Linked DNA regions of Macaca fascicularis. The protein of the gene in region 1 interacts with the protein of each later gene in a pairwise test. Links are inferred from orthologs where the notes say so. Each region holds a gene or a part of one and is shown on either strand. Other genes may lie near its edges. The genes, in order: KRT15, ZC2HC1C, ZGPAT, WAC, FAM110A, NOC4L and CCDC185.

Region 1 (4,394 bases):
ATTGGTAGAGTCAGGATTTGAACCCGGGCCTCACAGTCTTACCATGGTAATTGATAGAGCCAGGATTTAAACCCCAGGCCTGAGGGACTCCGGAGCCCTGTCCACTTCACCATGCTGCAACCTGGGCTAGGAATCCTCTTCCTGAGTTTCTGTAAGCCCTGGGGCCAGGTCCGGAGGGCCGGGCCACACCTCCAAGAGGCACTGCCCACAGGTGTCAGTTGTCCCTGGAAAGGTGTCCCTGAGCCGGTGGCAGAGAAAAGGGCTCTCCTGAGTGTTCAACTCCCCATCTTTGTGAAGTGATGCCTTGGTCTTCAAGATCTCCAGTGTCTTCCAGCCTGCCCGCCAATCTCCCATCTCTTCCCTTCCACAGCACTCAGGCACATAGAGCCTTCTGCAGCGGCCCCTCCCCAGCCAGCACTTGACAGGACAGATGGGGGCTAATCTGGCCCTGCTAAGCAGCAACATGCTGCTTGGAACTTGCCCCAGCCTTATCAGCGGAGGTCTGCCCCAACACATCCCAGAAGCGAGCAAAGGTTCAGCGCTATGCAGTTGGCAGGTGTCGGGATCATCAGTCATCCCCTTGTCAGCCCCGAGCCTGCTGGGCTTTTGTGAGGGTGCCAGGGACATAGGCTGGAGGCTGGCAGGAGGGGAGTAGAGGTGGGAGGAGGGGAGTCCATCTGCAGCACCAGGGAAGGGATGGATGCTGGCTCCTCTGGTCACCTCAGCTGGAACACTACTCAAGGTCCCTGGCTCCTGTCCTCCAACTGGGGGTCCTGCATTCCCATCCCCAGAGGCCTCCACTCCCCCTGAGCCCTGCAGTCTCTCACTCACTCACAGGGTTTTGAGTTGGATAACACAGTGTAATGATCAAGAAGTGGACTCCCAAACCGAGAACACGGAGCTGTCCCCTTGGGCAGAGGCTCAGGGCTCGGGGCAGTGGAGAAGTCCAGCTGAGGGCACAGTGGCTTGAGCTGCTCTCAGTTCAGCTAGAGGCTTTGGTAGCTGTGCTGTGATGAGAGTTCACTCCCTGCTGCTCTCTTCTGGCATGGAGAGATGAACCTGTAATCCAAGTGTTAAAACCGTGCCCCGGGGGAAAACACTATTAATTCTGAATCATCTCTTTTGTTGCATTAAAAAAAATAGAAGAGAAAAACTTCACACGAGCCACTCAAGGTGTGCAGGCAGCTGTGTTTGTCAGGAAGGCAGAAGGAGTTGGCTTTGCTTTGGGGGAGGAGACGAGGTCCCACAGCACCCTCTGAGGGGAATATAAGGAGCTCCAGAGTGCAGCCTGGCCTGGTACCTCCTGCCAGCGTCTCTTGGGTTTGCTGAGAACTCACGGGCTCCAGCTACCTGACGATGACCACCACATTTCTGCAAACTTCTTCCTCCACTTTTGGGGGTGGCTCTACCCGAGGGGGTTCCCTTCTGGCTGGGGGAGGTGGCTTTGGTGGGGGTAGTCTCTATGGGGGAGGTGGAAGCCGAAATATCTCAGCTTCTTCTGCTAGGTTTGTGTCTTCAGGGTCAGGAGGGGGCTACGGGGGTGGCATGAGGGTCTGTGGCTTTGGTGGAGGGGCTGGCAGTGTTTTTGGTGGAGGCTTTGGAGGGGGCATTGGTGGGGGTTTTGGTGGTGGCTTTGGTGGTGGCGATGGTGGTCTCCTCTCTGGCAATGAGAAAATTACCATGCAGAACCTCAATGACCGCCTGGCCTCCTACCTGGACAAGGTACGTGCCCTAGAAGAGGCCAATGCTGACCTGGAGGTGAAGATCCGTGACTGGTACCAGAAGCAGGCCCCGACCAGCCCGGAACGCGACTACAGCCAATACTTCAAGACCACTGAAGAGCTCCGGGACAAGGTGAGTCCTCAGATGTCAAAGAGAGGGGAGCAGGTGGCTGGTACCCTGTATGTGGCTCTAATGTCGGTGTTACTGCTGACTCGAGGAAATCCTTTCCTGCCCAGGCAACGACTGTCTGGTGTGTAACCTCAGCAAATTTGGAATGCACCTGCTGTCCAGGTGCAGAGGCTAGTGCACATCTTCTCAACTTGGTGGTGCTGGGGGAGGAAGGGAGGGGTCTTGGGAGTCTGGTTAGGACCAACAGGGGCACAGGTGGGGGCAATTATAAAGAGCCAGGGGCAGTAGCTCACACCTGTAATCCCAGTGCTTTGGGGGGCCAAGGTGATAGGACTGCTTGTGTTCAGGAGTTAGAGGCTGCAGTGAGCTAATGACTGTGCCACTGTACTCCGGCCTAGGTGACAGAGTGAGAACCTGTATCTAATGGAAAAAACCAATAATTAAAAAAAAGAGCAGCTCGCCTTCCCTACCTCATGCACCCTGCAGGCTTCTGCATAAAGTATTCCTTCACCTCTTTGGCAAGAATGGGATTGGAGTGTGGCCTCATGAGTCCCAGATGCTAGAACCTCTTGTCTTTTCCTATAAAGAGACCTTTTGTGCCAAAAGTACTGTTGGGTCTTAGGAGACCTGGGAACTCATTACACATTCTGTCACCCACTCACTCACCTTTTTACTCCCTGAGACTGGGTTCTTCATTTGTAAAAGGCCTTCTTTAGCTGCCCTCCAGGTTGCTACTGGCTGGAATGTTCTGTAGATCCATGGCTGTGTCCAAGATGTGCAGGAGGCAGTGACCATGAGCTGTCCACAGGGGGGCTGGTGGAGTGTCTCTGAGAGGGCTATTGTCAGAGCTGACCACACCCCACTCCACCACTCTTCTGGGCAACCAATTCCCACAGGCAGTACTGCCTCCTTGGTCTTTCGTGCCCTGGAGACAAGGAGGGCAACTCCTCAGGTGTCTCAAGGAGGCTGGTATGGGACAAAACCAGAAGTGGACACTCAAGATGCGGCTGGACTCTGCCCACCCCAGAGGCCCTACAGATTTTTGTTGGTGGTGTCAGAGGGGTGATTGTCAGTGAGGGGCTGGCCTTGGGTGCAGAGTGGAGAGCAGCAAGGGAGAGAGAGGAGTCCTCTAGGCACCAACTCTGTCTCCTGCAGATCACGGCCACCACCATCGACAACTCCCGGGTCATCCTGGAGATCGACAACGCCAGGCTGGCTGCAGACGACTTCAGGCTCAAGTGCGCTCCCCCCTCCCTCTCCTCTTCCTGCGTTGCCCACTTTACTTGGCCTTCTCCTGGGTCTGACTCAGGCAGCCAAGACCCCTCCCACTTCCTTCTTTGGCCTCCCTCTCTCTCCTCAGGTATGAGAACGAGCTGGCCCTGCGCCAGAGCGTCGAGGCTGACATCAACGGCCTGCGCCGAGTCCTGGATGAGCTGACCCTGGCCAAGACTGACCTGGAGATGCAGATCGAGGGCCTGAATGAGGAGCTGGCCTACCTGAAGAAGAACCACGAGGAGGTGAGAGCTGGCCCCCATCACCCTTGAACCTGAGAGAGGTGGGGAACTTCTTCCCAAAACGCACTTAAATTGCCCAGAGGGAAAGACAGCGGCTCCAGGAAGCCCTCCCAGATTTTCGCGAGATTAAGTCGGTGGGAGGCAGAGTGGGGCTGCTGGTACTTCCTCATCGTTGGCCTGGGGCTTAGTGGTTCAGAAACACCCCCAAACCCCAAAACCAGGTGTCCTCATGGAGAGGAAGGGGCACTGACCTGTGGTAGCCCAGACCCACAGCCAGGCCAGGTGGCCAGTACGAATGACTGACTTCCTCATTGGCTTTGTGAGCTCACATCAGGGCCCTACAGTCTCGGGGTCCTCCCTTTGGTAGGACCTAGAGCAGCAGAGAGCTCCTCAGAGTTGAGGGGTCCATGTGACCGAACCTCTTCATGTGCAATAGGGAACATCGGTTGGGGTGCGTTAGGGGCAGAGCCAGGATTGGCATGTGGGACCCCAGACTCAGGTTTCTCTTCTGCTCTCCGTCTCTAAATGGGCCCCTCCCACCCTGCAGGAGATGAAGGAGTTCGGCAGCCAGCTGGCCGGCCAGGTCAATGTGGAGATGGACGCAGCACCGGGCGTGGACCTGACCCGCGTGCTGGCAGAGATGAGGGAGCAGTACGAGGCCATGGCGGAGAAGAACCGCCGGGATGCTGAGGCCTGGTTCTTCAGCAAGGTGGGCCTGATCTCCTGCCCTGCCCTGCCTGCCCCAGCTCCCTGAGTCTCCGAGGAGGCCCCGGGACTCACTTCTCTTGTGCATGATCTGCAGACTGAGGAGCTGAACAAAGAGGTGGCCTCCAACACAGAAATGATCCAGACCAGCAAGACGGAGATCACAGACCTGAGACGCACGATGCAGGAGCTGGAGATAGAGCTTCAGTCCCAGCTCAGCATGGTACAGCCACCCTCGCCTCATCCCAGCCTCTCGGGTGGTAGAAGCTCCCACCCTTCCTGGCTAGTTAAGCCTTGGAGTTCTCAAGCCCCCTCAAGAGGTGG
Region 2 (4,474 bases), on another chromosome or scaffold:
TTTTTTTTTTTTTTTTTTTTTTTGAGATGGAGTCTTGCTCTGTCGCCCAGGCTGGAGTGCAGTGGTGCGATCTCAGCTCACTGCAAGCTCCGCCTCCTGGGTTCATGCCATTCTCCTGCCTCAGTCTCCCGTGTAGCTGGGACTACAGGCGCCCGCCACCATGCCCGGCTAATTTTTTTGCATTTTTAGTAGACATGGGGTTTCACAGTGTTAGCCAGGATGGTCTCGATCTCCTGACCTCGTGATCCACCCGCCTCAGCCTCCCAAAGTGCTGGGATTACAGGCGTGAGCCACCGCGCCGGCCAACACTGAGCTAATCTTAACAGACTACATAGTTAAAGGAATGCTCACAGATTCTAGTCTTGGGAGGTGGCAGAATACATTGCAAAGAGTGAGGCGTTCTCTCCAGGTGACAAAAGCCTGCATTTTTTTTCTTTCGATTTTTTGTGTCTTTTGAATTTTCTACAGTAAACTTTTATTACTTTTATAATCCAAAGGACACAAATTCTTAGTCTAGATTTTTTAGTCATTCTAACCAAGATTTATATGCTGACTCTGCCACTTAAAGCTGTTTGTGACCTCAAGCAAGTTACTTAGCCTGTCCAAGTCTTGATTTTTGAACTGATAAAATGAGAGATAAATGCGAGGATCACATGCAAAGCTCCCATCACAATGCTGGCATACAGTAGTAATCAAGAAATGTTAATTCTAGACGTCAATTCTTCCTACATGACACATGAATTTTCCCTAAAGAAAACTGATGATGACAAAACAGACCCCTACAATGATCCCCACACCAAGTCACATCCATAAGGCTCTTGTTACCTTGGCTGAAGCTGGCCCCTTCCAGTTCAAGTATTGCTCTAGTTCTGTGCCCTTAGCCCGGGCCCTGGAGGAGTCAAACACTTTCCTCTTGGAACCCTGCATCCTGCTGCAGATGTTGGAGTGTCTCTCCAGCCTGAACAAGAGGAATTTTCGCCCACAGTGGCTGCACTCACCCAGCTGTGGCTCTTCAGTGGAGCCGCTGGAACCTGAGGAGTCTGGTGCCATGGACAGGCTGGAATTTCTGGCAGATCCCTGCAAAGCACCGCCTGGTGTTTCTGAAGGCGGGGAGAACTTCTCCATCGACGGCTCTGAGACTCGGTCTCGAATTTTGTTATTGCTTGCTACCAGCCTTTCCCTTTTGAGTCTCTGGATTCTATAATCAGAGAGCTGGAATGGACTCGAATTTTGTTGAGACCGTTCCCAAGTTTCATCCTCTCTCCTGTCTCTACTAAATTCTTCCTCAAAATCAAATTCTGGGGAGAAGACAGCTTTGTGCGTGGTGTTGCTGTTATTACCTTTAACTCTGCTCCTGGGGAATATAATTTTCTGTAGCTCTCTGTTTTCATTTTCCTTGGCCTGTTCCTTTTGCGTCTGGATCCTTCTGAGTTCCTCCTCTGTCTTCTTCAGCTTTCCTCTCAGGAGAATCTGCTTTCTTCGGATTTCCTCCTCTAAGCTCTCCCCTGCAGCTTCTAGTCTTTGGATCTGCACCCACTCCATCCTGTCCAAGTTTGCCAAGGCCTTCTCCGCCTGCATGGCAGCAAGAACAGGATCAACCACAGAAAAGTTGACCTGGTTCCTCACATCAAAGTTCCTGGATGAAAACTCTCTCAGTTCAGGGGGCCTTGGGTAGACATTCTGGTCCCCATCAGTGCCAGACTCACCTGTACTGCACGACTTCCTGTGGACCACGGGTTTCAGTGGGTACGCCCGGTCCACTCCAACTCGTTTCTTTGTAAAGGGGATAAAGTCCTGGTTATTGGCTTTGGGATACCAGGATTGAGGGCCTGATGAGTAAAACAAACCATTTCCTTGGCCCTGGAAATCACTTCCTGCATCTTGGTGGCTGATTCCAGTACAGTGGGGATAGGAGTAGCTCCGGGCTTTTGTGTTCCATTTGGGGTGAGTGTGGACTTTATCCAGAGTCAACTCTTTGTTGCTCAAAAGCTGCTTCTGGAAATTGTTCCTCAGGTGCCCCTTCAAGGACTGCTGGGAAGAGTCACTTTGTTCGTAAGAGTCTTGCTTGGCTGAGTGGGGCCCTGGAGCTTCTGTTGTATTATGTGGAAGCATAACGCCCACAGGCAGATGTGATGCCAACCGCTGGAGACCAGCCATTCAGGGCCTGGACTGATGCCTACGGGAGATTTAAACCAGATACATGCGAAGAGTTTGTCTGAGGTTCACTCTCGTCTGCTAAAGCAAACTATTTCAACATTTGCCCTGCCCACATTTCCTTAAACTTTTCTGGGGACAGTGGTGCTGGATCTGCCAAAGCTTCCCTTCAAAAACCATTTGGTGAGTGATTACTATGCACAAGACACTGTGTTAGGCCCTGAGGGTAGAGAAACGGAGGTGCTACAGGTGTTCCTGCCACCTAGCTCTCCTCTCCTCCAGCACCAGCCTCTGCCACGCACAGTATACTCTACAGTAAGTGGAAAGAGCATCGGATTGAAAGTCAGGTTTTAGGCCTGTAACAGGACAAGCGACTTCTCCCTTGCTGGCCCCCGTTTCTTCACCTGTAAACTGAAGGGTTCCGTCCGAGTCCATCCTCACCATTTTACAGGTGAGCAAGCTGTGGCCCAGAGGTAGTGACTGGCACAAAGAGCTCTCAGGGCTTCCCTCCTGCTGGAACCGTGCTTGATTCAAAAGAGCACAGAGGCTGCTAGGGCCTGGAGCAGGTGCCTGGCTGTCAAACCCTCATCCCAGGAGTCCCCGTGGCGCAGACGGTAAAAGTTTTGTAACCTGAGCGTTGAGGGCCACCTGACCTGGCTGCAGCCGGTTTTAGATCCTTAAGGCTGAAGTCACGTTCTGTCCCGAAGGGTCAACTGGGGCGCCCCCACTACGGACTCCGCCTCTGGGGACAAGTCCTCTCTCTCTCCTGCCCTTCGGGCCCTTAGGAGGTGCTGACCCTCTGTCTCCCCGCCCTTCTGCGTACCTGAGGCCCTCGGGCACCGCTCCTGCTCAGGGGAAACCCCAGGGCCTAGTTTCCCAGACCCGACCTCCCCCTCAACCGACGGCCGCGCAGGCGCTCTCAGCTAGCTTCTGTTATTCCCGGTGCCTGGAGACCGAGTTACTGGCGGGCCAAGCTCCGCCCCTCGCTGCGAACTCCTTGGGGAGGCGTGCGCAGGCGCAGTGCACCAGCGACCCGGGGCGACCGGGGGTGGGGGGTGCGGTCAGCCCGACCGTCACTTGACCCAGTCAGTGTCCGGCCAACTCTGCAGCCGGGTACAGCCCTGCCCTTGGGGAGCCGAGGAAGGGCGGGAGAGGCTTTTCTGGGGCTCCATCAAAGAAGAACTTGTACTTTCCTGAGAACGATGCTCCCAGACCTTGGGGTGTGCCCTTCACTGGCAAAGGGCGGAGGCCCTGGCTGTGCCTCCGCGTGCTTCCGCCGCAGGGTGCAGGCGACCGCCTGCCTGGTGGGAGCGGGGCTGCTGCTGACCTTTCTCGGCGCGCTTGGCTGCGCTGGGCGGGCCCCAGGTATGGCTGCACGTGCGCGCTCCCTGCTTGTCGTCGCCAAGTCTTTGGAACTTGCTGCCAACGTTTTTGCTACGCAGTATCTTTCCGGGGTAATTTTTGTGGCCAATCTAATTATTTTGATATTATAATGTTTTACTCTCACGTGGTAACTCTAGCCGTCTGTACTTAGGGCGTAGGAATGACTCAGCCAAGTGTAATGATAATAAAGAACTACCAGATCGAAAATAATCAGTATAACCTGGTTTCAACAGTAAATGATACTCTGTAACTTGTTGACATCAAAAGAAAGTTTATTTTTTTTTCTTCGCTTCAGTTCATCTGTGTAGGACGTTGGGAACAGGCAGTTCGCTTTTTCCCTGTAACTACTCAATTCATGCACTTGGAAAATAATGTAGACAAGCAGTCATCAGTGTTAATACTTCAACATGTCATATTACAGCTGTTACCTGTTACAAAGAAATTCCTTGGTGGACCCTCCAGGTCAGTCCTTCTTTTTTTTTCTTTTCTTTTTCTTTTCTTTTCTTTTTTTTTTAATTCCTCGTTTTCATCCCTTGTTGCCTGCACCACCTCTACATATATGCAGCTCCAGATGTTTCCCACTCTACTCAGGGTCCCAATTATCAACTCCCGCAGCTTCCCTCAGCAGGATGTACCGGCTTTCTTTCTCTCTCTCTCTCCTCTTCCTTCTCTCCCTTTCTTCTCTGTCTCTGTCTGTCTCTGTCTCTGTCTGTCTCTCTCCCTCTCTCCTTCCCTCTCCTCTATGAGAAAGAAGGGCCACTTTCCATGAGTTCTCTTGAATTAGTGCTTTTCAGTACCCTCCGGGAATTGACTCCATCACTTTACCCCAGCGTTTTGTTTTTGTTTTCTGTTTTGTTGGTTTTGAGGGTTTTTTAAAATTTGTTTGTTTTTTGAGACAGAATCTCACCCTGTTGCCCAGGCTGGAGTGCAGTGGCGC
Region 3 (4,472 bases), on another chromosome or scaffold:
CCGTAAGAGTAAAATTTTCAGGCCGGGCGTGGTGGCTCATGCCTGTAATCCCAGCACTTTGGGAGGCCGAGACAGGCGGATCACCAGGTCAGGAGATCGAGACCATCCCGGCTAACACAGTGAAACCCCGTCTCTACTAAAAATATAAAAAAAATTAGCTGGGCGAGGTGGCGGGCGCCTGTAGTCCCAGCTACTCGGGAGGCTGAGGCAGGAGAATGGCGTGAACCCGGGAGGCGGAGCTTGCAGTGAGCTGAGATCAAGCCATTGCACTCCAGCCTGGGTGACAGAGCGAGACTCTGTCTCAAAAAAAAAAAAAAAAAAAAGTAAAGTTTTCAAGTTGAACTCTAGAGAATAAAACTAACAACAGGGCCGGGCGCAGTGGCTCATGCCTGTGATCTCAGCACTTTGGGAGGCCAGGGCAGGTGGATCACTTGAGCTCAGGAGCGTGAAACCAGCCTGGACAACATGACAAAACCCTACCTCTACTAAAACTACAAAAATTAGCCAGGCGTGATGGCTCACGTCTGTAATCCCAGCATTTTGGGAGACTGAGGCGGGTAGATCACGAGGTCAGGAGTTCAAGATCAGCCTGGCCAAGATGGTGAATCTCTGTCTCTACTAAAAATACAAAAAATTAGCCGGGCGTGGTGGTGGGCACCTGTAATTCCAGCTACTCTGGACACTGAGGCAGAGAATTACTTCAACCCAGGAGAAGGAGGTTGCAGTAAGCTGAGACTATGCCACTGCACTCCAGCCTGGGCAACAAGAGTGAAACTCTATCTCCAAAAAAAAAAAAAAAAAAAGCAGGCACTGTGTCTCACGCCTGTAATCCCAGCACTTTGGGAGGCTGAGGTGGGCGGATCACAAGGTCAGGAGATTGAGACCATCCAGGCTAACACGGTGAAACCCCGTCTCTACTAAAAAGTACAAAAAAATTAGCCAGGTATGGTGGCAGGTGCCTGTAATCCCAGCTACTAGGGAGGCTGAGGCAGGAGAATTGTTTGAACCCGGGAGGCAGAGCTTGCAGTGAGCCGAGATTGCGCCACTGCACTCCAGCCTGGGCGACAGAGCAAGACTCCATCTCAAAAAATAAATAAATAAACAAGTAATAATAATACAAAAATTAGCTGGATGTGGTAGTGTGAGTCTGTACCCCAATTACTAGGGGCGCTAAGGCAGGAGATCAGTTGAGCCCAGGAGGTCCAGGCTGCAGTAAGCCAGGACTGCGCCACTGCACTCCAGCCTGGTTGACAAAGTAAGACCCTGTCTCAAAAAAAATTAAAACAACAACCAAACAAAAAAACAATGACGATAGGTTGGAGACCTATTCTCTTCCACATAAGCCTTGCACTGTTGCTCAGGCTGGAGTACAGTGGCTCCATTTCCGCTCACTGCAACCTTGGCCTCCTGGGTTCAACCAATTCTCCTGCCTCAGCCTCCTGAGTAGCTAGGACCACAGGTGCGCGCCACCACGACCAGTTGAATTTTGTGTTTTTAACAGAGATAGGGTTTCACCATGTTGACCAGCGTGGTCCTGAACTCCTGACCTCAGGTGATCTGCCCGCCTTGACTTCCCAAAGTGCTGGGATTACAGGCGTGGGCCACCGCACCCGGCCACCTTCTATGCTTCTTGATTTACCCCGGAACAAAGACGCAGACGCCTGAACACAGACACTGCTGTCACAAAGCATGCCTGCCCCAAGAAGCTGAGACAAAACTGCAAAGCAAAGGGAGGGCCACCCTGACCCGACCCTGTGTGCGTGCCCCTTACGCCCCAAGGTTGGCATCCTGATAACAAAGGGTTTTACCTGCAGTTCTCCTTGAAGCGGCACTTTCCCTCCAGGAAGAACGGGCACGGCTTCAGAGACTTGTGAGTGGGGTACAGGTAGAGCACACGGACACCCGCCGAACCATCCTCAGCCTCTTCCGCTCCCACCACCATGGCGTTGTGATACTCCAGAGTGCCCCATGAGCTGTAGTAGGGTGCGCTCACCTTTGTCCCACTCAGCTCTTCCTCGTCCTCTCCCTCTTCCTCCTCCTGCCCACCTGCTGCAGATTCGGGCCCCGCCTCTGCTTTAGGAACGGTCTCTGATCCGGACTCAGGGGCTGCTGCTGGCGCCTCCACCGCCTCAGTGATGGCCTCCCGGAAAGCCTGGTACTCAGCATCTTCCCGGCCCGTGCGCTCTTCGTCCAGCGCGGCCAGCAACTTGCTCTTCCTGACAGACACCAGGCTGGCCTCGGTGAGCTCGATGAGCTCCTTCAGGTCCCCCTGCAGCTGGCGCAGGTCCGCCTGCTCAGACGAATCCAGGCCGGCGCCCAGGGCCAGCTCCACCTGCTGCAGCTGCGCACGGTAGGTCTGCAAGGCCGACTCCAGGCTCTCCTCGTCCATGCTGAGAGAGGGAGGCGCTGGACCAGGGCTGCGAGAAGAGAAGCCAGGTGAGCCTCGCGTCTCGGGACCGGCCCCACAGACTGCGGGAGGGCACGGGCACGTCCCCTGTCCCTCGGGGAGACACCGGCTCAGAGGCACAGCTCCCAGCGCAGAGGTCGCAGACCGGGTACCCCCGCTCAGGCTCCGCGCTTCCCTTCCGAGCCGCCCTGGGCTCGCCGCTAGCCGGGTCCCGCGTCACTCCGGAGACCCCCTCCCCGCGGGGCGCCCCGCCGCCCGGCCCTCCGCCGAGCCCACCCGCCGCGCCCGCTGCCTTCCAGGCCGGCCCCGCCCCCGCGCCCGGCGTCTCTGCAGTCTGGCCAAGGCCGCGTCCCCGCAAACCGGGGTCCCCTCTCCCCGGGCAGGGAACCTCCCCCGCGCGGTTTCCCAGCCGCCGCCATAGAGAGCCCGCCGGCCTCACCGGCTAGAGCGGCCCGGCACCCCCCTTTCGTCCCCGCCGCCGACCAGCACTTCCTCCCGAGCGCCGCCACTTCCGGAAGTGCCTGGCGCGCGGGGGCAGCCGGGAAGCGGAGCGCGGAGGCCGCCGGGACGCGTTTCAGCTCCTTCCCTGAGGCCGGCTCTCGTCCCGTCAGGCGCCGCGCGGGGTTAGCGCGGGGTCAGCGGAGGTCAGCGGGGGTCAGCAGCGGCGGCTCCGAGGTCGCGGCGGTCGCAGGTAGGCCGCAGGCTATGCGGTGGGGCGCGAGGCCCGAGGGGCGGCCCAGAGCTGGAGGTGGGACGCAGGTGTGACAGGAACCAGCTTTGGCTGCTTGTCGGCGAGCCTCCAACCTGGCGGCCGCGGCATGGGGCGGCCGTAGCCGGGGTCCCCGACGCGGGTTCTTTCTCCGCGGGAGTCGTTCCCTGCCCGCCGCGCGCCGCCTCCGGGAGCAGCCGGGCCGCTGCGCACCCGCCCTGTAGTCCGCTTCCCGCTGGCCGTCCCCGTTTTAAGAAATGGGTTGATGGGGCGTCCCTGGGGAGCTCCTGGGGAGCGCGCCGGCGGCTCGCTGCTCCCGGGTGGGGCGCGGGGGCCCAGGCGGGGCTGCCGCGAGTGTGTTCCCCGTTCCGCGCGCGTGAAGCGTGGGAGCGAAACCTCGGGGGAGGGCGGGAGCGCAGCGGAGCTCACCGCGAACACCCGGCTGGGTGGTCCCGCGAGCAGGGGAGGGACCGGAGCCGCTGCGGGTTCGGAAAGGTCGCAGTCATTGCTGTGAGCGGAAGGACGGAGTGGCGGCCGGCCTGGGAGGAGTTGCAGGGGTGCGGTGGAGGAGGGAGAGTCGGGAATGGCCCCCAGGCTCTGGTCCTGAGCGGCCAGCTGGACGTGGGGCGCCCCTGACCACCGTGGAGAAGCCCGGGGGCGGGGAGCTGCGTTCCGGCTGCACACTGACACATGTTGGGGCGCCCAGGGCAGGATGTACACGCTGCTGTCGGGCTTGTACAAGTACATGTTTCAGAAGGACGAGTACTGCATCCTGATCCTGGGCCTGGACAATGCTGGGAAGACGGTGAGTGCCCACTCCCTTGCCCGCACCTTTCCCACGGCCGGGTGGCCCCCGCTTCGGTTTTGTGCTGTCAGCTGCATGTTCACTACCCAGATGGAATCCACATTTCACCTGAGACGACAGGATTGTCACCACCAGCTTCCTGAAGAGCAGAGTGTTGCTTTGTTTCTGTTTTTCTCTCTTAAGGAACAGGCCTGAGGAAGGATATTTGGGAAGCCAGTGTAGCCCCTACTTGATGTGTCTGCCTCTCCCTCTCTCCTCAGACCTTCCTGGAACAGTCAAAAACCCGGTTTAACAAGAACTACAAGGGAATGAGTCTATCCAAAATCACCACCACCGTGGGTCTAAACAGTAAGAGGTCTAAACAGTAAGGGGTCTAAACAGTAAGGGGTCTAAATAGCAGGCTGTGGGTTTGGGGCCTTGAGGATGCCGTGACGTTCACAGTCCAGCTGGCCCTTGGCCACAGCCCTGTCAGTCCCCTCTCAAGTCTCATTTGAGTGGCACCAGCATGGTTTGCTCCATCCCCCGGGAGAGCTGGGACTGGGTGTGTCGAG
Region 4 (3,811 bases), on another chromosome or scaffold:
TGAAGGGAACAACTCTCATTTGGAGGTATAAGTTCTGAAATGCTTGTTTAGAAAACAACAATAAAAACAACAGTTCAATTATTTTGCTACCTCATAGCATGAAATAAAAAATAGGAAAATCAATCAAATGAAAACCATTCATTCAACAAATGTCATTTAAAGTTGTGTTGTTAATGAACACAGAAAAGTGCTAACACAATACAGCAGTATAGAACTATCTAAAAGTCATCTGTATAGGGTCACAGTTAAGCTACTGGGAAAGCCTGACATACACGGGAAACATCGGCCCAAGTTTTAGATAGGAGACTTTGGCTTTCATCAATATACTCAAACCAAAACTGCTATGAGGAGGTTACAAAGCAATGTAATTCCAACAAATATTGTAAAATCATGTGCCTTTCTGGTACAAGTATCACAAATCTTTACCCCATCATATTCCACTGTGTAAAATTTTAAAGAGCCACTTTCTTCAAAATAACCCGGGCTTTACTACTAGAGACAATAACCTACCTCTTGTATACAGGTTTGTCTTTGTAAATTTTACAACATATAAGCCTACTTTAGAGTATTCATGGAGTTTAAAGTTGTTATATTTTACAGATACATCTTCAAACAATGCAATATACCAGTATACTATCATTAAACAAAACAATGTGGTCTCAATATACAATATCGACGTACCTTGAGCGCTGAAGACTTCGAGGAGAGACAGGTTCATGACCTTGCTGCTTGTCAGCAGTTACAGGCTGCTGTGTGGCTGACTGTGACACTGGTCCTTGCTTAACTACTGGAGTACTAACCTGAAATGTCAAAATCTGGTGAGATGGTCTCCAAATCTAATCCACATCTCTCCCCCCAAAATCTAGGTAATCGTCTTAGAACATGTAAAATATGGTGTTTTAAAGAAGACTGTCAAGTTCTAAAACTTCGGTATCTCATTTCTTTGTAAAAATGGCCCAAGGTCATAAAATTACTTCCCTATCAAACCAGTGTAAGAAACTAGCTCTCCTCCTTTACAACTCAGTTTTCTTTCCAATACATTATTATCTCTTCTGATTTGTTACTTTTATATCAATAAAAGTAAATATGTATGCTACCACATCATACACATATGGATGCTTAGATTTTAATGACATGGAGAAACAATGTGATTCGGCTATCAGAAAATGAGTTATGGCCCATATAAAGTTCATCATGAGTGTTTTTCAAAGAGATGTTACTCTACAGAGGTAGACTGAAGTCCATGATTGCCAATCAGGATACATATTATATTCAGAAGCCACAGAGAGAAAATAAGCAGTTTAAAATATAAGCTCTAAATTGAGGCACAAAGGCAGATGGAGTCCTTTGTGATAAGCCACACCTCACTGCTGTTTTTCTTTTGGTGGGGTGAGGGGATATGATTAATAATTCTCCCTAACAAATCTGGAACGTCCTGCTTAACTTCTGAATATTACCTATCAATTCTAGTCAAGTCTTATAAAGAACATTTTAGTAAGCACTAAAAGCTCAAATGTTCAATTATTTTAAAAACAACTTGAAGAAGTTTTCGGAACACAAAAAACTGATAGCTATCTGTTTAAAGGACTTTTTTTTTTTTTCTTCGAGACAGGGTCTTAGTCTGGTTGCCTAGTCTGGAGTGCAGAGTGACGTGATCTTGGCTCACTCCAACCTTGAATTCCCAGGCTCAGGTGATTCCCCCACCCCAGCCTCCTGAGTAGTACAAATTGCCATGCCCAAATAAGTTTTTTTTGTTGTTGTTTTTTAAAGACAGAGTTTTGCTCTCTCGCCCAGGCTGGAGTGCAGTGGCGTGATCTTGGCTCAACTGCACCTCCACTTTCCAGGTCAAGTGATTCTCATGCCTCAGCCTCCTGAGTAGCTGGGATTATAGGTCTGTGCCACTAATTTTGGTAATTTTAGTAGAGACTGGGTTTTGCCTGTTGGCCAGGCTTTTTTCAAACTCCTGGCCTCAAGTGATCTGCCTGCCTCGGCCTCCCCCAGTAAATTTTCAAATTATTTTTGTAGAGATGGGGTCTTGCTGTATTGCCCAGGGCCTAACTGAATCCTCCTGCCCTGGCCTCCTAAGTGCTGTAATTATGGGTGTGCGCCACTGCGCCCAGCCTGCTTAAAGGAGTTGAAATGCTCAGTTTACAAGTGACTATAAAACCAATACTGCCACTTATTTCACTTTTAACCACTATTTACTATACTCTTAAAATATCACCCTGAAGAAAAGTTCTAAGCTCCAAAAATAACCTATCTTTTGCTGAAACTCACATTTTAATTCTTTCCTCCTTAAAATACTGGTGAATGATAAGGAACTGCATGACAAACTAACAACTGTAACTTGGAATTTTAAAAATCAATCTAAATTGGCCCTAAAACATGCATTGATCAATGGCCAAGGTAGGGAAGGGATGAACAAACGGGAAGACTTAAAAGCTGACCAACCACCTCTTTCAAGTTGTATTTCAATGCATTTTTATTTTTGGGCTGCTGCTTAAGATCTTACAAATAATTGTTTGGCATTAAAAAGTTTGAAACAGCCCACTGTTTCAAAACTACTCAAAAGAAATTCCCCCTATATTTACCATTTAGCCCAGAAATTTTCTAACTGCACCTATGGAGCCAACCATGTGAGATTCTGCTGGGACAAATACAGGCAATATAAGCTTAGTAAAATGGGTCCCTGTATTCACAAACACCTAGGTTTCAAATTCTGACTCTACCACAAAAACTAGACTTAACTGAGAGTCTGATTTTCTTATCTATTAAATGAAGCAAGTGATGCTCATGATGTGAAAGTTGAACATACATTAAGTTCTTAGCACAAAAACTGCCTCATTTTTGAAATACAAATATGGCAAAGTTGCTGGAAAACATGTTCACTCATGTCTTTTGGAGTCTGAAAATTCTACAAATATTAAGACTCACAGTATACCCTCTTTATCTCACTCTCCATGTGACAAATCCCAAAACCATTAGGGAACAGACTCAGAAGGTGTATTAAAGCAGCACAGATTCAAAGCCCCCCTCTATCCCTCAGTGAACTGAGAAATTCTAGGCTGCATCTACTATCATACCTGTCATCCATTCCACCACTACACCTCATTCTCATAGAGCTTTTTCTGTAACAGATTCTAAAATGTTATTGATTTTCCAAAAGTAGTTTCTTTCCCAAATATCCCTCAAAGGTGACATACCTTTGGCTGTGATGAAACAGGAGGAGTACTGATCAAGGGTTTGATAGGGACTGTGTTAGTTTGAGGTGTGCTTATTCTTGGAGAAACATATGATCTTGGGGATGACGCATCAGACGTTAAAGACATTGGAGACTGATTAGATGGCTGGGCTGTAAAAGAGGGAAGCAATTAATTTTAAAGAAAAACAAAACAAAACAAAAAAACTAAGTCCTTTGTAATATATGTGGTAACAATCTTTGTATCACTCTAAACCCCCCACCCCCATATTACCCAGAGAACACTTATCGGAATAAATCAGAATCTGACCTTCTCACTGGGCCACACTGACTAAGTGAGCTGTGTGTTCAGAGGTAAGCACACCCAGTGTGGCCCACTCTCCTTTATGTGGCTGGAACAGGAAGCTAGGCCTGAACCTATTCTCACATGGAAGGCCTCCTCACCATCCTTATTTCTTCTTTCTTATTCTACATTTAGGCCCAGGTATCCCACGCAGTCTCCTGCTCATGAGGCTAGCCAGAGGGTTGCAAGAGTCTTTGCACCATTATACTTCCATTCCAGACAAGGCATTCCTGCTGTTTATCAGCTTTCTGACAAAGTGACCCTTTCAC
Region 5 (4,492 bases), on another chromosome or scaffold:
TGGCCTGCCCAGGAGTCAGCCTTGCTCAGGGTGGCCTTGCACTAACTTTAGGAAGGGAGAAGAGAGTAGGCTGTGGAATGGGTGTGGATGTGGACATCTAGGCCCACTGATATGCTCACCTCTACCAAGTTGATCTTCTAGGTTTGCACTTGAGGTTGCAAAATGGGGACAAAGGATTTTGCAGTGGGGACGGAATGAGAGAGATAACACATGCAAGGTCTTGGGGAAGGACCTGGCACGCAGGATTAGAAAGGTGAGTGGGAGGCAGATCCATAGCCAAGCCCACTTCCTATCCTAGACCGCCCTCTGCCCAGGCCTGAGTACACCATCATGACTTCTTAGCTCAGCCCAGAGACTGAAGAAACTTAGTGTCACAGAGCAAGTCAGGGACAGGGCAGTGGTCTCATGATTTATAAACATGCATATATATATATATATATATATATATATATACACACACACATACATACATACACACACACACACATATATATATGTAATTTTATTTTTTAGACAGAGTTTTCCTGTTGTCACCCAGGCTGGAGTGCACCGGGATCACCGCAACCTCCACCTCCCAGGTTTAAGTGATTCTCCTGCCTCAGCCTCCCAAGTAGCTGGGATTATAGGCTCGTGCCACCACATCCGGCTAATTTTTGTATTTTTTAGTAAAGATGAGGTTTCACCACGTTGGCCAGGCTGGTCTGAAACTCCTGACCTCAAGTGATCCACCCGCCTTGGCCTCCCAAAGTGCTGAGATTACAGGCGTGAGCCACCGCACCTGGCCTTAATTTTTAAATTTTTAAAATAGATGATACATGCACACAACTCAAAATTCAAAAACGGTAAAGATAGTGAAGTTTAAAAAAAAAAAACAACAACAACCTCCTCCCACCCTGTCCCCATTTCTCCTCCCTGCAGGCACCATCGTGACCAGACAGTTGCTTATCCTTCCTGAGAGACTTTAGGCAGATGCAGGCAAGTATGAATATATATTCTGTCTCCATTGTTACACATATGGCGTCATGATGCTATGTGTACCATTTTCATCTTGTTCTTTTTGCTCAATAGTATGTTTTGTTCTTGGTGCCACATCAGTACATAAAGAGCATGTCCTTTTTCCCAGCTGCACAGTAGAATTTCCCATCATCCCCTACTGGTGGCCACTTAGAGTGTGTCTCATTTCTGCCTACAAACCACACTGCAGCATCACTGCATCTACATCATTTTGCTTAGAAGTGGGACAGCTGAGTCTGGGGGATGTATTTGTAATCCACAACCAAGTCTGCTTCCTATCCTAGACCGCCCTCTGCCCAGGCCTGAGTGCACCATCATGACTTCTTAGCTCAGCCCAGAGACTGAAGAAACTTACTCAATGTCACAGAGCAAGTCAGGGACAGGGCAGTGGTTTCACGATTTATAAATATGCATATATATATACACACACACACATACACACACACATATATATAGAGAGAGAGAGAGAGAATGAGATGGGAGGACTGTGCTTCATGAAGGCTGTGTGAGTTAACCTCCTGCCTGCAGAACATACAAATGGTCCATGAACATTAGTTTCAGTTATCTTGATTACTGAGGTTCAGGGCATCCCTAAATTTTGCACTGGTGGTGAGGACCTCAATTGCCTCAGCCCCTGCCTTGCATCACAGTGGGAGAAGGTGATAAATTTGCTAATAAGTAAAATATATAGGACATAAGGTGGAGTAAATGCTACTGAGAAAAACAAAACATGCAAGAACAAGAGCAAGGCTTATGAAGTCAATAATATTTGTTGAAAGAATAAAGGAAAGGCTTGTTTTCTGAGTGTTCGGAGATCCTGTCCCCAAAGCCAGGGGGAGGCTCCAGAGGAGAGGAGATATGTAACTCCCTTATGAAGAGATTCAAGACTCTCAAAATGCATGACTCTGGGTGTCAAGGATTCTAAGATTGAAGCCAGAGGGACCAGGAGCTAATAACCACTGCATTGTCTGACTGGGACTTCGACAAGAGGCTTAACTTCTTAGAACCTCAGTTTCCCCACCTACAAAAGGAGACTGACAATAGCAACCTAGGGGGCAAGGGGTGTCCCCAGGAGACAGAGCAGGATCTGGCCTAGATCAGATGCTCCTCCTGAGGGAATCCCGGCCCCACCCCCAATTCCAAAGTCTCTGGTGACTAGTGGCTTTGGTTCAGGGACTGGCTTTATTCCCTTCCCCAGACCGGGGAAGATTCCCAAGAGGCCAGCAGCGACTCTGGGGGCTGGAGAATCTGCTGCCCCTATATCCAGCCCAGAAATGTCAGTGCCATCCGATGGCTAAAGAGTGGTCCTCTGAGAGGGGGAGCTCTGGAGTTCAGAGCCCAGTAGGCAGAAGGGCGCCAAATGAGCCGAGTCCAACCCCGGACTGCGGAGAAGAAAGACGCCCAAAAGGGGTATCCCGAGGACAGTGTGGGGCGCAGGGATAGGTGATCCAGCCAGGGGTCCATAGGCCGTGTCCCTGCCGATAAAATGCTGGGAAAATGACTACTAGTTGCCCGTCTGTACCTCTCAAGGCAAGTCTAGATACGACTAGACTAGGGGCTGCGAGGTAGGGCGGAAAGCCTTGAACTGGATTCTCTGCCAGAGCTCGCCGAGCCAGGACACTTGCCTCTCTGAACCTCAGAGTCCTCATCTGTGAAATGACACGCAGGTACGACGCGGGGAGAAAGCAGACAGCAGGCGCTCGGGGAACAGAGTCCCCCAGACCCCGGGTCGCACCCGGAACCACCCGCGCCCTCACCTGGAGCTCGTCCTAGGCGTGTCCCGGCTCCTTCCGCGCAGTCTTCGGAGAGGCTGACAGCTCGGACCCGGGCTGGTAGTGACCGCTCCCAACGGCGCCCAGGAGGCCCCAGCCCCGCGTGGGCACCTTTGGGGTCCCCTTCGGAACTGCCCTCCGCAGTCGAGCTGAGCGGGTGGCCCTGACTGTCGAAGGCCCCCACCGCAGGGAAAGTCCCTCGAGCGCCGAGAAAGGGGAAGTGAGCACCCCGCCCCCCTTCACTCCAGAATGGTTCGACCCGGACTTCCTGATTGGTTCCTCGCTTCCGTTCGAACGGCGCGCCGCCGGGGTTGCCAGGCGACCGCTTAGCTTCTGCAGCCTGAAGGAGCGGCGCGGCTCAGCAGCTCCGCCCCCACCTCCCAACCGGCCCCACCTTCTTCCTGCCGCCGCTTCAGACCCGGCGCCTGGTTCTTTCCCTTCCTCCTCCCTCCGGCTTGCAGCTGGGACTTCCTCTAGGGCACCAGCTGGAAGAGCTCCAGTTAGAGGACCCTGGTTGATTCCTAGTCCTGACTTTGACGCTAACTCCCTATGTGACCCCGCACAGCCCCTTCCTTTCTCTGTTCTCCTAACTGCATGATGATGAGTGAGTTAATTTTAAAATGTGCACACCCAGCAGTCCTGAAATTTACAAAGGAAATGACCAAAGATATGAGCAAAGATTAATATTGCTCAGCCTTATTCATCATGACAAAATAATGGAAACAACTTAAATGCCTCTTGAAAGGGGTTGGTTATATAATTCCATCCTGTGGAAGAGCTAACTAACTTAATTGAGCGTTTTACATGCCAGGTAGCTTTACAGAACAACTCTTGTCAAGGCTTATGACATAACCCTCTAAAAGTACTTTTAATTATTAACACTTTCTTTTTTTCTTTCCTTTTTTTTTTTTTTTGAGATGGAGTCACCCTGGCTGGAGTGCAGTGGTGGGATCTCAGCTTACAGCAGCCTCAGTCTCCTGGGGTCAAGCAATCTTCCCACCTCAGCCTCCCGAGTAGCTGGGACTACAGGTGTGCACTACCACACCCGGTATTTTCTGTATTTTTTGTAGAGACAGGGTTTTGCCATGTTGCCCAGACTGGTCTTAAACTCCTGGACTCAAGTAATCCTACCAACTCAGCCTTCCAAAGTTCTAGAATTACAGGCATGAGCCACGCCGACTAGCCTAATTATTCCCACTTTCTGATGAGGAATATTATGCAGCCATTAAAAATGAAGCAGCCACCAGGAGCAGTGGCTCACGCCTGTAATCCCAGCACTTTGGGAGGCTGAGGCGATCAAATCACCTGAAGTCAGGAGTTGAAGACCAGCCTGGCCAACATAGTGAAACCTTGTCTCTACTAAAAATACAAAAATTACCCAGGCGTGGTGCTACAAGCCTGTAATCCCAGCTACTCGGGAGGATGAGGCAGGAGAATAGATTGAACCTGGGATGTGGGGGATGCAGTGAGCTGAGATCATGCCACTGCACCCCAACCTGGGCAACAGATCATCTCAAAAAAATAAAAATAAAAGTGAAGTAGCTAAAAGAGATTTAAAGATAGGGGGAAATGCTAAGTATTAAATATTGATTTATTTATGTTTTTTAGAGACAGGGTCTAGATCTGTTGCCCAAGGTGGAGTGCAGTGGTGCAACCACAGCTCACTGTATCCTAGGTTGAAGCAATCCTCCCACCTCAGCCTCCAG
Region 6 (4,086 bases), on another chromosome or scaffold:
CCAATAACAAGGCTGTGCTGTAGCTGGACCAGGGCCTCCCACGGCGGGAAAACGCCGCTGCAGCTGGACCAGGGCCTCCCAATGGGGGGAAACTCAGAGGGGCCCAGGCACTGCCTGTAACTACGCAGCATCCACCCAGGGCCTCACGGGACTCCCAGAACAAAGGCGGGACCAGCAGGACACAGCCAGGGTGGGACGTTGACACAGGAACCCCCGACTCACGTCATCCCCCACTGACACCAACCCCCCCATTCACACAAACACCCTCTACTCACAACCAAAGTCCCCCCAGTCACACGGACACCCTACTCACACCAACACCCCCCCGACTCCCACACACATCATACCTGTACATACCACCACACCCACCTCCCGCCACAACTGACCCAGGCAGAGAGAACCCCCCAGCTCCCTCCCAGGTGTCTGGAGTGTAACCTCAGCAGAGGCCCCGAGCTCTGCAACAGTGAGGTCACTGGGGCCCGGGGAGTGAGGGAGGCTGGGTGACCCATGACACTGGTGGGCCAGAGGCCCTGGGAAAGACCATGCCTCAGGTTCCCCACCATGCCGTCCCAGGCTGCGGAGGAGGCAGGGGCCTCGCTTTGCCATGTGCCTGGTGGGCTCAGGTGGATGTGAGGCCCTCGGCCTGGCAGAGGCATCCAGCCGCCCCTGTCCACACTCCGAGCCGCTCTCCTGCAAAATCATTTATTCACAGGTGGGCCGGTGTCAGCTGAGTGTGAAGTGCTGGGCACAAAGTTCGCCCGGCCGTCCCAGCAGGCCCTGGGCTGGGATAAACTCCAGCGGCACTGGCTCGGACCCCTTCTTCTTCAGGTCCCGCTCAAAGATCTGCAAAGGACAAAGGACGGTGGCTCTCAGGCTTGGCTCAGCGCCCTGGGGCTCAGGCCCTCGCACCCCGGCCCCAGTCCCATACCTCATAGGCCGTGAGCTCCAGCAGCGGCGCGATGCTGACCTCGGGTACAGACAGGGCCTGGTTGATGACGCTGGCGGCTTTGGACACCTCAGGATGGTAGTGGTGCTGGAGGGCCTGGGGTAGCAGGGCTGTCAAGGGGCAGCTACCCCAGGCCCCCGCCCTATGCCCCCAGCCACCACCTTCCTGTGCTCCTAACCAGAGTGGGCGGGGTGGGGGCAGAGCCACGGAAGAAGGCCAAGCACCAAGCACCCACAAACCCTGGTGGCCAGTGGGGGACACGGCACGAGGCTATGCGGGAGGTGGCATGGGGAGCTGGGCTTTCTGAGGGGCCAAAGGATGGCTCGGGAGGCCCCAGAGCGTGGCAGCAGCACCCTCACCTGAAGCTCCCACAGGGAGCTCTCCAAGGCCCGGCTCTGGGCTGGGTCCTTCTCTCCGGGGTCGTAGGGGTCGGCGTCCAGCTCTAGGAATGAGATGCGGACCCTCATTTGCTGTCCACCTCTCCAGGGCACCAGGCACCCCTGCCACAGGTCCGGCCCAGCCTGCGAGAGCCCCGCGACTCACCAGGGCCGTGTGGGCGGTGCACGAGGACCCGGCAGGCGGGGTGCCGGCGCAGCAGGTTACAGATGAAAGGCAGGACCATGAGCAGGGCCTCGGGGGGAGCCGTCAGGGCCAGGCGGGCCAGGCGCTTGGCGAAGGCGGCCACCAGGTAGGCAGGGAGGTGGCTGGGCAGGGCAGTGGTTGTGAGACAGGGCCTGGACCGCTAGCCCCCATCACCCTCCCCTGGCGCCAGTCTGCAGAAGCACAGAGGAGAGCAGAGCCAGGTGCTCTGGTACTCACGAAGAAGACAGGAAGAGATCAGCCAGGTGGAAGAAACGGGCCCGGTACTTGACGTGAAAAACGGAAGGGTCCAGGAGGCCGTAGAGCTTCCGGTAGAAGTCGGGGTACTCCCTGTGGGCCGGCGGGGAAGGAGCAGTGGATGGAGCAGGGCCCGGGAACTGAGGCCTCCAAGGCCAGGGTCTAACTCGGCACCCCTTCCTCCCGCCCAGGGGCTCCAATGCCACGGCCTGTGAGAAGAGCGGGGACCCCGTGGGGCAGGGTGGGAAGGGCACAGGTAAGCAGGGCTGGACGGACGGGGAGACACTCACAGGTTGTGTTTGTGAATCAAGATGAACAGCCCGTTCAAGGCCAAGAGGCTGAGGGCCCCACCTGCAGACAGACAGACACACGCTGGAGCTGCAGTGACCTCGCTCCCACCCCACTCCCTGCCCACGCTGAGCCTAAGCTGTGGAGTGTGGCCCTGCCCCTGCTGTCCCCTCCCACAGCCCCCACGGACACAAAGCTGGAGACCACATGCAGGGCAGGGGAGTGGGGGGTGGAGGCTGCAGGGTTGGGGAAGAGGGGCTGCGGGGTGGAGGTTGGGGGGTTGGGGGTATGGGAGGCGCTGCTCCCGGCATGAGTGAGGCGGCCGCACTCACCGAGGGGGGTTGGGGTGTGGTGTGAACCAGGCGGCCGCACTCACCGAGGTCGCAGGCGCGGGTGAGGAAGTCGATCATGAGCGTGGGCTGGGCCAGCTGCGGCAGGATGGCGTCGTGCGTGATCAGCAGCACCTTCTTGTAGAGGCTGAGGGGCAGCTGGGCGAGGGCCGGCAGGTCAGGGTGAGGCCTCCACCCTTGGGGACACCCGGGTGCTGCCCCCGCCCTCACCAACCAGCCTGGCCCCTACCTTGTGCTTGAGGAAGCTGAGCCACATAGTCTGGAAAGCCTTCCTGTGTTCCTGCGACAGGGTCCAGACTGTACTTCTGCCCTCCTGACCCCAGACCCAGAGCCCAAGCAGCTGCCAGGGCACACTGAAGCCCAGCCCCGAGCCAACGCAAGCCCGCTCTCCACTCTTCTGACCCCGCCCTCCCTCTAACTGTCACCATTCAAGTCAGGAGCACCTCGCCCTCAAGGCTGGGGTCTCAGAACAGCCAGGAAAGAATCCTTGGCAAGACTAGGGCCAAGAGGGGGGCTGCGCCCAACACAGCCCGCGGGGCCCACGGATGGCACCAGAGCCTTCAGATTCCGAGAGGCGGTGGTGGCCTCCGACCCAAAGGAGGGCCCCGAGTTCAGAGGCCTTGTCACCTCCCACACTTCGAGTGACCCAGTGGCCATGCGAGCTGCCACCTGTACCCTGGGAGTTTCCTCGTGAGGAAGGCGGCAGCCTGCACGGGGTCTCGCACACACCCCACATGCACCCTGCAAGCCCAGGAGGGTGCCCGGCTCTCCGGAGGCCACTCACCTTCAGGTGAGCAACCTTCCAGGTGTCCCACAGCTCTGCAGGGAAAGCGAGAACAAAGGTCACCTGACCCGCGGGGGAGGCAGACCAAGGCCCAGCCCTGTCCGCCCCTGGCCCTCAGTACCCTCACCCGTGCGCTTCACATAGAAGCTGGAGACGGTGGGCTCCTGGCGGGGCAGGCTCACGGCAGACAGCAGCGTGAAGGTGTTGTTCCAGAAGGCCGGGGGCACCTGCGGAGCCGGACCTGAGTGCCTGGATGCCACCCCCCAGCCCCTGCCTCCCCGGGAGGCACCAGCATGATGCTGCTGACAGGCCCCGTCGCTCACCTCGGGGTGCTGGCCAGTGACCCGGGCCACGACCTCCACGGCCGCCTGCATGCTGTGGTAGCGAGTGTCGTCGTAGTCCAGGTACTCCCGGAACTGGGACAGGAGCAGGCTCTGGTCCTCCTCAGGAGAAAGCAGGCCTCCCACCACCAACTGGGGGCAAGGACCAGTGAGCAGCCCTGCCCGGCCCAGCACAGGCCAGCACGGCCCAGGCAGGCAGCCCCACCCCACCAAGGCCCCTACTCAGCCTCCTCCTGGTTGGGTGGGCCATGAGAGGCACCCCACACGCACAGGAGCCGCAGGAGGGTCCCAGCCAACAGCCAGGCTCAGCTCAGCAGGCCCCGCCCCGACTACAGGGCCACCCTGGGCTCTGGCCAGGCAGCCAGGCCCTCTGGGACCCCCCAGCCGGGCCCTCTGGGACTCCCCAGCCGGGCTCTCTGGGACCCCCCAGCCAGGCCCTCACCTTGAAGAGCTCTCGGGGAAACAGGTAGTTGCCTTCCCACTTGGGCTTCTCCAGGGGATGTGCTCCTTCCAGCTGCACGAACTTCATGAGCGCACTGA
Region 7 (3,995 bases), on another chromosome or scaffold:
AGCACTCTATCCTTTACTTAAACTATTTTAAGATTACATTAATTGCATTATTTCCTTAAGCTAGAAATCTGCAGAAATATTTGTAAATTCATATATTACTTTAAGTCTTAACACTTTGTTTTTGAGACAAAGTCTCACTCTGTTGCCCAGACTGGGGTGCAGTGACATAATCATGGCTCACTGCAGCCTCAAATTCCTGGACTCAAGCAATCCTTCCACCTCAGCCTCCGGAATAGCTGGGACTATAAATGCACACACATGTTTAGCTAATTTTTAAAATGTTTATATAGAGGCAGAGTCTCTCTATGTTGCCCAGACTGGTCTAAGTCCTGGGCTCAAGGGATCCTCCTGCCTTGCCTTCCCCACATGCTAGGATTACAGGCATGAACCACCACCCAACCCAATTCTTAAAACTTTTAACTGACGCTTAGCATGGCACCAAAATGATATTTATTGAATGTATTCTGGTGCCAACCTCTGGATGCATCATTTCGTCTGATCCTCACAACAGTCCTGCAATGCTGGTAAGATGAGCCCGGCTTCCCACTCCATCTTGCTGGAACTGGAGGTCATGGAAACTTAAGGGATTTGCCCAAGAGCCCATGAGTGAAGAGTGGTAGAGGAGATTCAAATTCTTTTTCTCTACCAGATCCAGTGTTTTTCCCATTAGCCAAGGGTGCCTCAACAAGGAACAAGAATCCCACAAAATTCGAGGAAAAGGGGGAAAAATGTGATTTCAACATGGTGTTCACTGATGCTATTTCAGAAATGTGCACGCAGCATTCATATTTTGACAAAAGCAGTAATTACCATATTAGAAAATAGAGTCGTTGTCTTCCTTTTCTAAAAATCTTTAAAAGTTAACATTAAAGCATACTTTGGGCTTGCTAATTTAAAACGGCAAATGGATGGTGTCGCATATTAATGTGCGTCCACAGCCGCTCTATTTGACCACGTTGCAGAGGTACACACGTGCAGGACGGTGGTTCTGCAGCTGAGGGTATCTCCTCCCTGAAACTGCACCTTGGCCCTTCTCCCCACCCTTTTTATTCTGAGGGTGACGCCTTCACCCGGGCTCTCTTAAAATCCTGCTGTTTGTGTGCAAATGCGAGTTCAAATTTCTCCCTGAAACACTGGTGGGGGGACACTATGCACCCTCATCTTTAAATATCATCCTGATTTCCCACATATTCCCTCCTCCAACCTGCAACCCCTTTCTCCCCCACCCGACCCCCACCACCCCCATCTCCAGCCTCCTGTCCTTCCCATTCCAGGTGCTCCGAGTGCTAGCAAAACTGGGGTGGGCGGCGCCGGGCAAGGGCTGAAGACTGCGGGGACCCAGCTGCCAGGCGCATTGTGAAGTGGCCGGAGCGTCACAGGCGACCCCGACTTCGGGACCGGGGGGCGGGGCGGGTGTCTGCAGCGTCCTCTGGAGGTCTCAGACCCCTTGCGCAGACTCTGCGCGTGCCCAGAGGGAGGGATGGCAGGCTTCAGCCACTTCTCCCAGCCGCCCTACCGGGACCTCTGGGAACCCCCGCGGCCCGGCGGAGAGCGAGAGTCCACGCAGCGGCTGGGCGGGCAGAGGTCCGGAGCCAACTCCCCCGCGTGCTCCCGGGCCGAGACTCCGGGTGCGGAGAGCGAAGCTGGGGCGTGCTGGCTGCACCCGCACTGTTCGTTCACGCCGCGGCCTCGCAGGCGCGGGTGCTCAGACTCACCGCGGGGCAGCCGAAGCCTGAGCGATGTGGTCCGCAGGCCCCTGGACCGCTCCAGGAAGCACGGGCTCCGCAGCAGGCGCCTAGAAGATGCCTGGGGAGAGACAGGAACCAAGCCCCGCCCAGCTTGGCAGCCGCAGACCCAGCTGCCACCCCAGCGGCCGCAGCCCTGCCCGCATTACCCACTGGCCCAGGGAGACTCGCCCCCGCCTTACTCCGGAGGAGCTGGCACTCCCCTGAGTGGCACATTCAGGGTAGAAAAGGCACAGGGTGGAGACCAGTGGGCAGTGCCGCTCGGCAGACATCTAGGTCGCTGGTCCGCTTCCTCAGTTCCCTCGGAGCGGTCTTCTGTGCCCTCCCAAAAGTTCAGGAGGCACTCAGCCTGCGGGTGCGCCCAGAAGAGAGACAGCAGCGACCAGGTTGAGTCATTAGCAAGCCGGGACTCCCAGCCCTCGGCCTCTAGCAAAGAGATGCGGAGCCCCCACACCCAGGTCCTGAAGAGCAAGCTGGAAGAGGCAGTGGTGTCCTCCCAGGACCAGCAGATTGTGGCCCTCGTGTTGACCCGTCTCAAGAAGGCCCAGAGGATGCGGGAGCTGCAGCAGCAGGCGGCTGAGGCCTGGGAGGAGTTGAAGCGCTCGGATCAGAAGGTCCAGATGACCTTGGAGCGGGAACGCCGGCTGCTGCTGCAGCAGAGCCAGGAGCAGTGGCAGGAGAAGGAGCAGCGCAAGACCCTCCAAAGCCCTGAGCAGCGCTGCCGGCGGCGGGACAGCCAGAGGAAGAACGTGACCCCGGGGGAAAGCCGGTGGAAGGAACAAACTGAGGACCAGGAGAGCCCGCGCCAGGAGAAGCTGGAGAAGGCGCGCGCCCAGGCAGAGCACCGAAAGCAGTGCCAGGTGCGGCGCCTGCGGGAGCAGGAGAAGATGCAACGGAACCTCCGGGAGCAACACACCCTGCAGCTACAGAGGAGGCTGGTGGAGGCCTGTCGCAAGAGGCATCTGCATGCCGTGGAGGGACAGAAGAAGGTCCAGGACACCAACCTGAGCTCTCTCATCAATTACCAGGCCCGGAAGGTCCTCATGGACTGCCAGGCCAAGGCTGAGGAGCTCCTTAGGCAGCTGTCCCTGGAACAAAGTTTCCAGCGGTCCCAAGAGATACACCAGGGCCTGATGAAGGAGCGGCACCGCGAGCTGAGGGAGAAGGCCCAGAAGGAGGAAGAGCAGTTGCAGCAGGCCAGGTGGCGTGCAGGGGAGTCAGAGGAGCAGAGGAAGATGCGCAAAAGGATTCTGGTGGAGCTGGCAGATGAGAAGATCCGACAGGCCAGGAATCACGTGCACAAGACCACTAGGGACAAGGTGCAGCACCTCCGGGAGCTCAACCACCTGAGGGAGAAAAACCACCACATCCTGAAACTGAAAGCCGAGAAGGAGGAAAAGTGCCACATTGAAGGCATCAAGGAGGCCATTAAGAAAAAGGAGCAGAGGGTGCGGCACATTACCCAAGGGAAAGACCCAAACTTCCAGGAGTTCCAGAAGCTCCCTCAGGCCTCCAGGAGAGAAGAGAGAGCGCCTCCCAACAGCTCCCTTGATCAGATAGTACTAGAGGCCCAGCTCCGTGCCTGTCAGCAGAACAGGGATTACTGAGAACCAAGGACGCCTGGCTTACAGCGCCAGCCAGAAGGAGATGTGGCAATGTGATTCCTTTTGTAATCTGATTATAATTGAACATTGATTTTAAAAAAGCATATAAAATAGCTGCAATTTCCTCTCATGAACTGGTTTATTGATTCACTTGGATAGTTTAGAGGGTCGGGGAGAAAATTTTGAGAATTTCTATGAAAATGACTTGGCTTTGTGAATTTCGATTTGAATACAAAATATTCATTTAGCTCTCAAGTAATCTGAGAAACACACAACAGGCACATTTTGGAGACACCAGAGAAAAATCTATAGTTAGGGATACAGTTCTGTGACATGTCTTAAGTCTTTTCCTGTCCCAGAACTTATGAAAGGGTGAAGTATAAAGTACGCATCATAAGAAATCTCCAAGACAAAAAGAAATTTTAAAAAGAGTGAAGTGGGAGGATTCCTGTGAACGAGTAGATTTGGGAACCCTGCATACTATATCCTCTCTTGGGAGTTCATAATGCACTTTAAAATTTTAAAGACATGCAGTAAAGAAACTTAATGTTTAATGTCCCTCACCTCTTTTTTTTCTCAGATAATTTCATGGAATTGATGTTCTGTGAAACATTTTTGAAAACGGCACTCTATAGTTCTTATCTGA

The links.
Region 2: the proteins of KRT15 (region 1) and ZC2HC1C interact in binary tests that used the Homo sapiens proteins (3 or more experiments, as listed by UniProt). The two-hybrid records come from large-scale screens. The link is inferred for Macaca fascicularis from reciprocal best matches to the Homo sapiens genes KRT15 and ZC2HC1C.
Region 3: the proteins of KRT15 (region 1) and ZGPAT interact in binary tests that used the Homo sapiens proteins (3 or more experiments, as listed by UniProt). The two-hybrid records come from large-scale screens. The link is inferred for Macaca fascicularis from reciprocal best matches to the Homo sapiens genes KRT15 and ZGPAT.
Region 4: the proteins of KRT15 (region 1) and WAC interact in a two-hybrid assay, tested with the Homo sapiens proteins (4 studies listed by BioGRID and IntAct). The two-hybrid records come from large-scale screens. The link is inferred for Macaca fascicularis from reciprocal best matches to the Homo sapiens genes KRT15 and WAC.
Region 5: the proteins of KRT15 (region 1) and FAM110A interact in a two-hybrid assay, tested with the Homo sapiens proteins (2 studies listed by BioGRID and IntAct). The two-hybrid records come from large-scale screens. The link is inferred for Macaca fascicularis from reciprocal best matches to the Homo sapiens genes KRT15 and FAM110A.
Region 6: the proteins of KRT15 (region 1) and NOC4L interact in binary tests that used the Homo sapiens proteins (3 or more experiments, as listed by UniProt). The two-hybrid records come from large-scale screens. The link is inferred for Macaca fascicularis from reciprocal best matches to the Homo sapiens genes KRT15 and NOC4L.
Region 7: the proteins of KRT15 (region 1) and CCDC185 interact in a two-hybrid assay, tested with the Homo sapiens proteins (2 studies listed by BioGRID and IntAct). The two-hybrid records come from large-scale screens. The link is inferred for Macaca fascicularis from reciprocal best matches to the Homo sapiens genes KRT15 and CCDC185.

What each region holds. Positions count from the first base shown.
Region 1 is NC_088390.1:62,556,995-62,561,388, reverse strand, and holds the start of KRT15 (keratin, type I cytoskeletal 15), read left to right. Parts: upstream 1-1,293; 5' UTR 1,294-1,356; coding exon 1,357-1,854; intron 1,855-3,006; coding exon 3,007-3,089; intron 3,090-3,211; coding exon 3,212-3,368; intron 3,369-3,912; coding exon 3,913-4,074; intron 4,075-4,167; coding exon 4,168-4,293; intron 4,294-4,394.
Region 2 is NC_088381.1:143,018,035-143,022,508, reverse strand, and holds the start of ZC2HC1C (zinc finger C2HC domain-containing protein 1C), read right to left. Parts: upstream 3,087-4,474; 5' UTR 2,158-3,086; coding exon 826-2,157; intron 1-825. Other genes in the region: ACYP1 (acylphosphatase-1), read left to right, coding at 3,357-3,608, 3,833-3,999.
Region 3 is NC_088384.1:119,823,628-119,828,099, reverse strand, and holds the start of ZGPAT (zinc finger CCCH-type with G patch domain-containing protein), read right to left. Parts: upstream 2,927-4,472; 5' UTR 2,847-2,926; intron 2,418-2,846; 5' UTR 2,390-2,417; coding exon 1,809-2,389; intron 1-1,808. Other genes in the region: ARFRP1 (ADP-ribosylation factor-related protein 1), read left to right, coding at 3,113-3,166, 3,823-3,921, 4,182-4,269. UniProt on the Homo sapiens protein: Transcription repressor that specifically binds the 5'-GGAG[GA]A[GA]A-3' consensus sequence. Represses transcription by recruiting the chromatin multiprotein complex NuRD to target promoters.
Region 4 is NC_088383.1:29,309,898-29,313,708, reverse strand, and holds part of WAC (WW domain-containing adapter protein with coiled-coil), read right to left. Parts: exon of another isoform or gene 3,510-3,811; intron 3,353-3,509; coding exon 3,204-3,352; intron 801-3,203; coding exon 682-800; intron 43-681; coding exon of another isoform or gene 1-42.
Region 5 is NC_088384.1:86,552,167-86,556,658, forward strand, and holds the start of FAM110A (protein FAM110A), read right to left. Parts: upstream 3,009-4,492; 5' UTR 2,772-3,008; intron 1-2,771.
Region 6 is NC_088385.1:139,271,024-139,275,109, reverse strand, and holds the end of NOC4L (nucleolar complex protein 4 homolog), read right to left. Parts: coding exon 3,989-4,086; intron 3,679-3,988; coding exon 3,529-3,678; intron 3,433-3,528; coding exon 3,333-3,432; intron 3,241-3,332; coding exon 3,206-3,240; intron 2,702-3,205; coding exon 2,651-2,701; intron 2,560-2,650; coding exon 2,404-2,559; intron 2,135-2,403; coding exon of another isoform or gene 2,074-2,134; intron 1,993-2,073; coding exon 1,766-1,992; intron 1,651-1,765; coding exon 1,490-1,650; intron 1,389-1,489; coding exon 1,306-1,388; intron 1,043-1,305; coding exon 929-1,042; intron 844-928; coding exon 724-843; 3' UTR 689-723; downstream 1-688.
Region 7 is NC_088375.1:81,410,006-81,414,000, forward strand, and holds CCDC185 (coiled-coil domain-containing protein 185), read left to right. Parts: upstream 1-1,453; 5' UTR 1,454-1,480; coding exon 1,481-3,352; 3' UTR 3,353-3,479; downstream 3,480-3,995.